Drosophila melanogaster: one gene and its partner. The protein of the gene in region 2 interacts with the protein of the main gene of each other region in a pairwise test. Each region holds a gene or a part of one and is shown on either strand. Other genes may lie near its edges.

Region 1 (7,815 bases), on a different chromosome or scaffold from region 2:
CTTGAAAACACTTGACCAAAGGACCACACTCTCCTGCGTGCTAACAAAGTAGGTGAGTGTGCCGGCATGGCTCTCGCGCAGTTCCAGACCAGGAAACTCTGACTTCAACGTGCCAGTGATCGTGGACACATTCATCTCCGTTTCGGTGTCCGCCTTCATTTTCAGTTTTATCGTGAAGCCGCTTAATCGCTTAAGGGCGCAAATATTGTTCAGACACTTGAACTTTCCGTGCGCCATGATGGCCAAGCGATTGCACAGCTCTTCGCACTCGTCCATGCTGTTTGTAGAGAATGTGTACACTTTTGAATCTGTTTGAAAAGGAAATATACTTTTTTGGGCTTACCTATGTGATGTGAGCACCACTGTTCGATCCTTTCCCTGGAAATCCTTGATGCATTGCCAAAGAAATCGTCTCGAGATGGGATCCACACCGGTGGTAGGTTCGTCCAGGAGCACCAGTGCGGGTGCACCAATCATGGCCATTGCCGCCAGAAGCTTGCGTTTCGTGCCGCCCGAATAGTGGCGCACTTGCACCTTTTGATATTTGGTCAAATGCATCTTCTCTAGCCAGTACTTCACGTGCTCCTTGCAGCTGGCTGGTCCATCGGTCCTTCGGCGGCTCAGGCCGCGCAGCAATGCCATGTAGTATAGGCACTGCTCGGCGGTCATGAATTTATTTAGTGCATCGTACTGAGGGCAGTAGCCAAAGTATTCCCGGTATTTCAACTCATGCTCGCGAATGTCTGCGCCTTTGATGCGGATAGTGCCACCATCTAGAGGCAAATTGGCCGCTATCATCTGAAAGGTACTTGTCTTACCCGCTCCGTTAACACCCAACAGACCAAAGCATTCACCCTGGGCAGCCGCAAAGCTGACTCCGTCCACAGCCAGCTTATCGCCGTATCGCTTGCGAAGATTGTGCACAATCAGTGAATGGTCGTTCAATGGGTCTTTTATCAGATCGGTAACCCGTTTTTCCTCCCTTGCACAATCATCAATTTCTGAGATCGGAGTACTGGGAAGGGTGCCTGTCGAATTGTATTTCTTTCTTTGGAATGCCCATTCCCAGATGCCATCATGAATTCGTCTGCGCAGATACTTGTGTTCCAGGACTATGGTAAAGAATGCCATGACCATAACACCCACGGCGGTGGCATAGGCAAAGAAGGTGTCCTGGCTGATAAGACCCTTTATAAGTGCCGGATGGCGTCGGGTTATAAAGTTTTCATTGATGATGCGAAACTGGTGATTAAGATTGAAGTCCGGTAGGAAGCAGAGGAAGGCGATCTTGGTCTCATGCAGTTTCATGGCCGCCGCATTGCTGGAGGTGATAAGTGGGGCAATGGCTAAAAGAAAATGGGTTTTATAGTTTTTCTAATTGTTGTCACTGGTTATAAAATCAAATAATATTACCGGACACAATCAGCATCAAAAGCAAATAAGTAGATATCGTGGATATCGACTTAAAGTTGTTTCCCAGGGCGTATAGAATGGGCAGGTAGCTGCAGCCGTAGAAAAATATGCTTAACACAATGACCTTAAGTTCAGCCGTTGTATACAGCTCCGAGGGCATCATCAAGGATTGCAGACTGAACAGGGCAACGCAGACGAAGATCAGGATCAGCATATCAAAAGTAAAATGCGCAAACCAATAAGTAAATCGCGACATGGTCTGCAGCTGTTTGAATCCATTGGCATATTCCCGAAACGGCAATGAGATGAAATAGAACATGAAGAAGAACATGCCGATCGGCACGATGACCGCATAGTATTCGAGGCGCGATGGACTTATGTCGCTAACAAATCGACGAATTGGCACGTAAGTCGTATCAATTTCAGACTCTGGACGCCCTAGCTTCAGCATTGCCGAGTCCACCAGGTTGATAAGCTCCACAGAGCTGTGGTAGCGATTGCCTGAGTAAAAAATCTCAATGGTGGGCGTATCGGAGGTGCCACGCCCACCTCCGTACATGTCAATAATGCCAATCACCTGCTCCAAGAAATCAGCCAAGTTGTCGCGTTGTAAGTCAAGGGATTCTAGAGAACACATGTATTGATAGAGCCATTAAAATGTTTAGCACAACGTCGCATACTCACCATTTTTCACATCATTACTCCCACGCAGGTGCATTGTTTTCGCTGTGATTCCATTCAGCTCGATCTGTTGACGCAGCTGCTGCTCCAAATGGGCGTGATGGCCCGTTGGATTGTGAACGTATATAACGCCACTGCCCATCTGGCTGAGCTTCAGCGGCAGAGCCTCTTCGTTCTCCACCAAGGACATGGCGTGCATCACCAGTATAGCCCCGAATACGCATACAAAGGGAATGCACAGCTAGCGAGAGGGGAGCACAAAAAGTTTTTAGTTCGTTTTAGTTTTAGTTGTTTTCGCCGTTTATACAACAGAGCAAAGTCCTACAAATTGCTAACAACTTACCATTATCAGAGTATATAACCATTCATTGGAAATAAAGGTCCACTTTTTGTAAAACACAGCCATCCAAAGTTGAAAAAGTCCGCGATGAGGGGGATGGTCTTGGAGTCTTTTGTAGTGTGCCAGTAGCGGCGCATCATTGCGCGAACCATCGGGGGTATCCACTTGATCCTGTTCGCCTGCGCATCTAAAACACCACATAAGATATTAAAGCAAAAACAATAAACAATGTATCTTCCAATCCCTACCTTAGGAAAACATCCTCCAGGGAAGTGTCGGTCATGGAAATTGTATGTATGCCCAGTTCCTTTGATTCAGTCTCCAGCCTATAAAGCATTTGTGCGAAACAATTTTTATAGGCATACGGCAGGCAGATATACACAGTAGGATTCACCACATTCTGTTCAACGTTTAAAGGATATTATGCACACGCCTTATATAAAGTTCATTTATTAATGACTTACCAAGACTCTGGCTGTTGGCACAAAGTGATGGATTATTTCCATGATTTCCACTTCTCTTGATGTAAAATCGTTGATCTCTAATTTGAGACGATAACCAATTCCCGATTTTCGTTTTAATTCCAAAGGACTCCCGATGCTCTGCAGTTTTCCATTGGCCAATATGCAGATGGTATCCCCAAGGACCTCGGCCTCCTCCATGTAGTGCGTGGTGACCAGAACGGCCTTCTCCTTGCGTAGATTAAGTAGGATGTCCCACAGCTCACGACGCGAGTTAATGTCCAATCCCGATGATGGTTCGTCAAGGATTACGATTCTGCGAGATTAAACAAAGATTTTTAAACCGAATATCTTTAAGCAATATATCTCTTAAGTTTACTTGGTGTTACCGGCAATGGCGATACCCAGTGATAAACGCCTCTTCATGCCTCCAGACAAATTCTTGCCGAATTCGTTTCGCTTATCGCTAAGTCCCAGCTTCTTAAGTTTCTCATCTGCCCAATCGCGTGCATCGGATCGGCAAGCTCCCCGCAGCTGGGCAAAGAACTCCAAGTGCTGGTGACATGTCATGTAGCTCATGAAAACGCTGTGCTGCGGACAGAATCCAATCAGGTGGCGATAGGAGGCCACATCGCGCTCACTGCACACAATTATCTTGCCCGAATCCTTTGGTACCAATCCTGAAAGAGAATCAACATGTGCATTGGATGGCCGAGGAAGCGAATTGAGTTTGAGTCCCTACCCATTATCATGTTCATCATGGTTGTTTTTCCAGCTCCATTGTGGCCCAGCAGGACAGTAATCTCCTTGTTGTTGATCGTCATGTTCAAGTTGTCCGAAATTAGCGTATCGCGCTTGCTTGTCTGGAACTTCTTGCACAACTCAGTGATTATGATAGCATGAGTGCCGCGCGGTGTCGTCGTGTATTCGTTGCGTTGTCGTTTCATGTAAGTCTTGGGCTATGGTTTAGAATAAAGAAAATTCTTAATTTAACCCTGTTTGGTTATGCAGCCGATAACCGATACGGAACTGTAAAAAGGACATTTTAACCGATTTCAATAAACAAGATTCGATCAAAGTAACCTATTGAAATAAAGAGTCTTACTGCATCTGATCTCATACTTGATTATAATGAACATAAAATTATAATACGAACTGAATTGAAGCTTATGTCGAGATAAGAAAATATATCACACGAGCGAAAATTTTGATCTGATACCGACATTAAATATCATTGGTTCGGACTTCGGAAATAGTACTTACATCTAGGAAAAAGAACATCGGTCGCTTTAGTCCACCAGGACCGGGAAAAACACAACCCAAATAGTTGTAGAGCATGGCATACAAAAAGGATTGAAAGACGAGAACCACGTAGACCGAAAACATCGTTGAGGAATTGCTTTTGATTACGCGAAATACATCCACAGCACCGAATTCGCGATCTTCAAAAAAAGCCAGTGTTCAAATTTAAATGTTAAGCTACTAAAAACCAATTTAAACTCTTACGCTTATTTGAAAATGTCTGAAAAATATCCAATCCCTCCAGAAAGGTATTCGTGCTAAAACACACAAATGCCAGCGATGTGGCCCAGCTTCGAACAAATGAGAATGCATAGGGAATTATTAGCATTGCCAGCCCTCCGATTTTCGCATAGAAAACTGTAAGTTATGTAGAAGATTAGTAAACTTTGCTGAATATATCAATGTAATTACTTACCTGAGTGGAAGCAAATAGAGATCAGATAAGCATACGACATGGTTGACAAAATGTAAAGCAGAAACAACACTGCCACGTAAGCAAAGCAGATGGAGCCCAGGGCCTTGTATAAATATGCAACGACCAGGACAAAGATCATAAGCAATGTGTAGCACACAAACCGAATGAGAAAGAAAGTGAGGCCGTTGAGGAAACTCATGGGCGTGACCAGGTTGAGAAACTCCTTCAGTCCGTTTTGCTTCTCCTCCACAAAGGGCACCACAAAGCTGCTTAGTAGGACCACATTGAATAGAATGCTGCACAGTGTTCCGAAATATGTCAATCGATGACTATCCATGCTGATGACCTCCATGTTGGGCATCGAGCTGACCACCACCTCAAAGTCTTTCCCGAGCTCCTGGTATTTCATATACTGTTTGTCCAATATGTGTTGCAAGGACAGGAATCCGGAACGAATATAATCATCATCATCTGATAAACAAAAACCAACATGCGGGTTCGTTAAACGGTAACAATGGAAAAATTGAACACGCACCTATCTGGTGATAAATTTCCTCGTCGTTCACAAATCGCTTTCTGGGCGAAATGCGCATCTGATTTGAGCTGAGGCTGTATCGGAACTTTCTGTCAGAGCCACGGTTCGGTACCCGGTGGAAGTCAATTGCGAAGCAGCTTCCACGGCACTGTTGCTCCATCTCCAGCTGCATCTCGAAGCTGTTGTTGTTGGGCCGAAGTCCTGCGCAATGAAATATTGTTAAATACAATCTAGAAGATAGTATCGCAAATATATGCAGTGAATTTTGTATGTTATTTTGTATGATCGTTATCAAAAGTACATATAAGCTTTATATGGTCGGAAACGTTTACGTTTACCATACAAACTTTTCCACATATCTAATTTATGAGATAATTTGGAAATGCACTTACGCTCTGGTATAATTCCCAGATCTACACGCAGGAGATCCATAATGTCCTCTACATTGGGAGAGATGGGTGAGTAGTAAATGTAATCCAGCTCATTACCGGGAAAGTACAATTCTCTAAGAACCATCTAATAAATAAATTGAAGTCCAATGATAAGGATTAGTGTGGTCACAGGTTTGTTATCACATGCATACGTATGTACAAATATAAAAAGCAGATAAAGTAGCAGTGCGAGGGAAACTTACTTCATTCTTTGCTTCAAACTGGTTAATTTGGTGAAGCACGGGCTTGACGGACCAGTGGAGGTACGCGGTGAGTACTCCGGCAAATCCGGAGCAGATAAGGAGCAGGGGCAGCAAGTTGCGTTGCAAGTAGAGCAAATTCTTCCGCAGAAAGACGAAGAACAGCGGGGTAAAAGTCCCAGCCATTTTCTGTTTAACATCAACTTTTCCCTAATTTTACTTTGCTTTGTTGAATGGCATTTTTTCTCTATCAACGTCGATAGTAATACTTATCGAAATGGGAACCGCACCCGCTCCTGAGACTTGAGTCACTGTGGGAATGAATTCAATAACATTGGACTTGTAGTAAAAAACGGAGGAACGCTACAAATAATTATTGTTTACTGATAAGTGTACAGTCTACTCGTAGCCAAAGCCAATGGGGGTCATAAAATAATTTTAAAAAGTGTGTAAACTTGGAATTTGTTTTTTATTTTCTTGTATATTTCACATTTTTAATTTGTTTTTTTGATTTATAAGTAAAATAAATATTGTTTAATTATATTTCATAAAAAGTTGCATTTAATTAAGCAAAGAACTCTTAATTTGTACCTTTAAAGTAAGAAATTTAACTTATTCCACAGTGTGTAAACAGTATATGTATTGGCTAAGATTAATACCATGCAGTTTCGCCATTACGGGCCATTCTTCTAAACTTGTTATAGCCATTTTATTTTGGTTAATAACAATAATATATATTAAAATTTATTTATTATATTCAGTTGGAATAATTTCAATTTGTGATTAAATTTTGCAGCTTCATTTTATTTATCGTTTAATATATAGCGTAAAAATAGCCAGAGTAGGACCACAGTCTTCGATATATCGATAGGCAGTGCCCTGAAATCGAAGTCTGTTTATTATAAATTTTTTATCATAATGAGCGGCTCGCAATTATTCCCAGTGAATCTGAACAACCTGAGTGCCAAGGAGCGACACAACTATATACTTAGTAATTACGTGCTTAACCTACCGAATGAGACGGAATCACGTCGGCACAAGCGAGACATCGATGTAATCCGAGAGAATCACCGCTTCCTGTGGGAGGACGACGAGTTGGATAGCGACACCCTAAGCTGGGAGCAGCGCTTGGCCCTGCGATACTACAGGAAGCTATTTAAGGAGTACTGCATCGCGGACCTGTCCCGCTACAAGGAGAACAAGATAGCGCTGCGCTGGCGAACGGAGCAGGAGGTGGTCACCGGAACCGGGCAGTTCCAGTGCGGCAGCCGGCATTGCGGGGAGCGGGATAATCTGCGCAGCTGGGAGGTAAACTTTAGGTATATCGAAAAGGGTGAGCCCCTAAATGCGCTGGTCAAGGTGGGTTCCAAATGGGTTTCCGCGATTGTGTCACTAATGGGAATTCCATAGGTGCGGCTGTGTCCCACCCACACGGATCAGCTGAACTACCGCACCAAGAAGAGAGAATGCAAGAAGCGGAGACGCAGGGAAAAGGAGGAACGGCGCGCTGAAAAGAAACGTAAGCGTCGAAAACTCGATGTTGGTCACGAAAGTTCTGGCGAAGAGGAGGAGGAGCCTGTCGAACCAGCATCCGAATCCCATCCAGAAGCCAGCAAGGAGCCCACAGACTCAAAGGATGCCACCACGGCAGACGAACAGATCTGGCAACAACAACCCGATATAAGCCGAGAGCAAGCCTCCAGAGAGCAGGAATTCGAGCGATATCTAGAGGATCTCATTTTTTAAAATACATAGCACATTTATTTGGATTCAACGTAGACACTAGTGCTCTTTTTTATAGTTACTGGCCGCTAGATGCGTTCGCTTACGAACTACGATGTACATGTACACTCACATTTACAGGATTATTCACAAGAACTGCGTGTTAAAACCGACACCAAATCTAAAGTTGAACTGGACATTAAGGCTGTGACTCTGATTGATTTTTGGAAACATTTCCGAATGGCTACATTTCAGGCATGCACCTAGTTCAATCGCTATTTCTATATCCATCGAATGCAAATCGAAGGTTCGAAA
Region 2 (3,587 bases):
TGCCATCCGCCTGCTTAAGGCAAGTGGTGTCCAGCCCAAGCGCAATTTCTTCGTGACCTTTGTGCCCGATGAGGAGATCGGCGGCGAGCTGGGCATGCAGGAGTTCGTCAAAACGGAATACTACAGCAACATGAATGTTGGTTTCAGTCTGGACGAGGGCGGCACCAGTGAAATAGATCTGTTCTATGTCTTTTATGCCGAACGTATGCGATGGGGTGAGTAATCCTTGAGACACATCTAGGACTAGAATCTAAACTATATCCCCTCTTTGGCAGGTCTCAAGCTGAATTTCAGTGGAACCTCTGGACACGGCTCCATGTTGCTGCCCAGCACTGCCGGCGTGAAACTGAACTATGTGCTCAACAAGCTGACGGAGTTCCGCGAATCGCAGGTTCAGAGGCTGGCCAATGATCAGACAATCAACATCGGTGATGTGACAACTATCAATCTCACCCAGCTGAGCGGTGGAGTCCAGAGCAATGTGGTGCCTCCTCATTTCGAGGCTGTCTTCGACATGCGTCTGTCCATCACCCTGGATGTGGTTGCCTTTGAGAAACAGATCCACGATTGGTGCGAGGAGGCAGGTGGCGGCATCGAGATCTCCTTCGACGAGAAGGAACCCTACGTGGCACCCACAAAGATCGACGACTCCAATCCATTCTGGCTGGCTTTCAAGGCTGCCACCGATGAACTGTAAGTCTGAATCGAATGCTCAACAATGCGTGTTCCTAATACGATTTGTATGTTTATAGTGGCCTTAAGATCTACCCCATTGTCTGCCCCGGTGCCACCGACAGCAGGAACATTCGAGCTCAGGGCATTCCAGCCTTGGGATTCTCACCCATCAAAAATACCACCATGCGCATCCATGATCACGATGAGTTCTTGGGCGCCGAAACTTATTTGAAGGGCATTCAAATATACAAGAAAATTTTGGGCAACCTAGCGAATGTCTAAAAACTAAATCGAAATAATACATGAAAACCTTATCAAAATAAAGATTGATGATTTTGTTATAAGTTAGTACAAAACTTCCTGGCCTTTTATCTTATCTCAACGAATACCTTAATCAACTTAAGATCTGAAGAATACAACTTGCTATCCTTGCGACAGCAAGTAGATAATGGATGTATCTACATTTTGCTGTATCATCATAGATAGCAAGTTGGAAGACTGGGAAGCCCATTAAATCCAAAATAATCACTTGATTTTTTCAAATCGAAGGTCATCAATCAAAGCTTCGTCATTTTAATTGAATTTGTCATAATTTTACGATATGATGGAAAATATTGAAAAATACATGACAACTTACCAAGAACTTGAGGTTTCAAAGGTTGAGGTTGCATAGATAATACGCAATGAACTCATTTCTGTGTAAGTTGCATAGATAATACATAATGAACTATTTGCCGCTTAGAAAAGTTACTTATTCGGATAATAGACGTGTGGGTTTTGCAGATAAGGGCGTTACTATCGCAACCACATACACTTTTGATAAGCATTTAAATTCCTTGACCATAAACATGAAAGCAATCAGTGTGATTATAAAAGCACAGACAATCTTTGTTGCAGCTCAGTTGCTGATGACAGAAGAGTGTCGAAATGAGCTCGGAAAAGTGGGAAAACAATGAGGAAATTAAGATTTTCCGGGAATACTTGCGTATACCAACGGTGCATCCAGATGTTGACTATAGTGAGGACTTAATTTTAATTCTTTAAAGTTTGCGTTATAATGTCTTTCAATGTCTAGCTGCCTGTGTGGAGTTCCTGAAACGTCAGGCTAGCTCCCTAAATCTTCCTGTTGAAGTGGTTTATCCTGCTGTTCAAACGAAGCCCGTTGTGATCATCAAGTGGGAAGGAAGTCAACCCGAACTATCGTCCATTGTTCTCAACTCTCACACGGATGTGGTGCCAGTTTTTCGAGAGAAGTGGACCCATGAACCCTTCTCCGCCGATATTGATGAAGAGGGTAGGATCTTTGCACGGGGTACTCAGGACATGAAATCGGTGGGCACTCAGTATCTAGGAGCGATTCGCCTGCTGAAAGCTAGTGGCTTCAAACCAAAAAGGAATTTGTATGTGACCTTTGTTCCCGACGAAGAGACTGGTGGTCATCTGGGCATGGCGGAGTTTGTTAAGACGGATTACTACAAGAAAATGAACGCGGGATTCAGCCTGGACGAAGGCGCCACTAGTGAAAGTGACGTTCATCATTTGTTCTACGCCGAACGTTTGCGATGGGGTAAGTTCCATAAGGATGATGATGATGGATTGGGGACATTACCGTTTCGCTTTATGCAGGACTCAAGCTGAAAGTCAGTGGAACTTCTGGTCATGGTTCCCTTTTGCTACCCAATACGGCAGGAGTAAAACTGAACTATCTGGTCAACAAACTGACTGAATTCCGCACCTCGCAAGTGGAGAACCTTGCGAGAGATTCCAGCCTCAGCAAGGGCGATGTGACCACCGTGAATCTCACCCAGTTAAGTGGCGGAGTCCAGAGCAATGTGGTTCCGCCACTTTTCGAGGCGGTCTTCGACATACGGATTGCCATTACTGTGAATGTGGTTGCCTTTGAGAAACAGATTCGCGATTGGTGCGAGGAGGCGGGTGGTGGCATTGAAATTGATTTCTTCCAGAAGGAGCCTTATATAGGACCCACCAAGCTGGACAATTCCAATCCCTACTGGCTAGCTGTCAAAGCCGCAATCGATGAGCTGTAAGTACCGACTAAAAATTAACTATAATGGCTAATCGAAATCCTCCTGTGTTTTAGTGGATTGAAGGTTCATCCCATCGTTTGTCCTGGCGCCACTGACAGTCGTTTCATTCGGGAGAAGGGTACCCCAGCCATTGGATTCTCACCCATTATAAACACCACCATGCGGATCCATGACCACGACGAGTTTCTGCAGGCTGATGTGTATCTTAATGGCATTGATGTGTACAAGAAGATTATTCGCAATCTGGCTGAAGTCTAAACAAAATGTTTGAACTACATGGATCGTGGCTATAATAAAGATGGGCTAATTACTAAAGTGTGCCTCGTATCTTCATTTTAGAGAGTAATCTTATCAAAAAAAAAAAAAGATTCAAGAGTTTAATTTGAAATTCCGTGTTTATCTCAATATTGTTTGTTGATTCTTTGACTTTCGCCTCCTTGATCAAGATATAAATGATTCTGATGGGAATTCTGTAGCAGATTGTCAACTATACTGCTTCTTGTCACTACCTCGACTGCCATCCAAAGTGACTTGCAATATAGTCAGAATTGGAAGAGATCTGCCGCCCATTGATAACGATTTTCTTATCATATACGCATAATCACTTTTGTGGCACGATCCAAATGCATATAAAGACAGCGGATGCCTTTAGCTGCTTATTTCTACTTTACCATCCTAACGATTCATATTAAAAATGAGTGCCGAAAAATGGGAAAAGAACGAGGAAATTCGAATATTCCGGGAGTATTTGCGAATTCCATCTGTACACCCTAATATTGATTATAGTAAGGTCCTTATTTTAATATTTCCTTAAATGCATTAGCACTATTCATTTTTAGCTGCTTGTGTGGAGTTTATTAAGCG

Evidence for each region. Proteins that work in one complex are often made in the same cells at the same time.
Region 1: the proteins of CG6733 (region 2) and Eato interact in a two-hybrid assay, tested with the Drosophila melanogaster proteins (one large-scale study listed by BioGRID).

Annotation. Positions count from the first base shown.
Region 1 is NT_033779.5:13,782,319-13,790,133, reverse strand, and holds the start of Eato (engulfment ABC transporter in the ovary), read right to left. Parts: upstream 6,051-7,815; 5' UTR 5,965-6,050; coding exon 5,782-5,964; intron 5,664-5,781; coding exon 5,540-5,663; intron 5,422-5,539; exon of another isoform or gene 5,349-5,421; coding exon 5,148-5,348; exon of another isoform or gene 5,084-5,147; coding exon 4,613-5,083; intron 4,555-4,612; coding exon 4,396-4,554; intron 4,338-4,395; coding exon 4,159-4,337; intron 3,925-4,158; coding exon of another isoform or gene 3,880-3,924; exon of another isoform or gene 3,855-3,879; coding exon 3,638-3,854; intron 3,576-3,637; coding exon 3,275-3,575; intron 3,212-3,274; coding exon 2,899-3,211; intron 2,835-2,898; coding exon 2,683-2,834; intron 2,622-2,682; coding exon 2,438-2,621; intron 2,336-2,437; coding exon 2,098-2,335; intron 2,038-2,097; coding exon 1,414-2,037; intron 1,347-1,413; coding exon 344-1,346; intron 278-343; coding exon 1-277. Other genes in the region: CG16890 (uncharacterized protein), read left to right, coding at 6,697-7,137, 7,189-7,524.
Region 2 is NT_033777.3:23,096,157-23,099,743, forward strand, and holds CG6733 (uncharacterized protein), read left to right. Parts: upstream 1-1,571; 5' UTR 1,572-1,602; coding exon 1,603-1,693; intron 1,694-1,750; coding exon 1,751-2,242; intron 2,243-2,301; coding exon 2,302-2,719; intron 2,720-2,776; coding exon 2,777-2,981; 3' UTR 2,982-3,035; downstream 3,036-3,587. Other genes in the region: CG17109 (uncharacterized protein), read left to right, coding at 1-215, 276-693, 753-957; CG6738 (uncharacterized protein), read left to right, coding at 3,418-3,508, 3,563-3,587.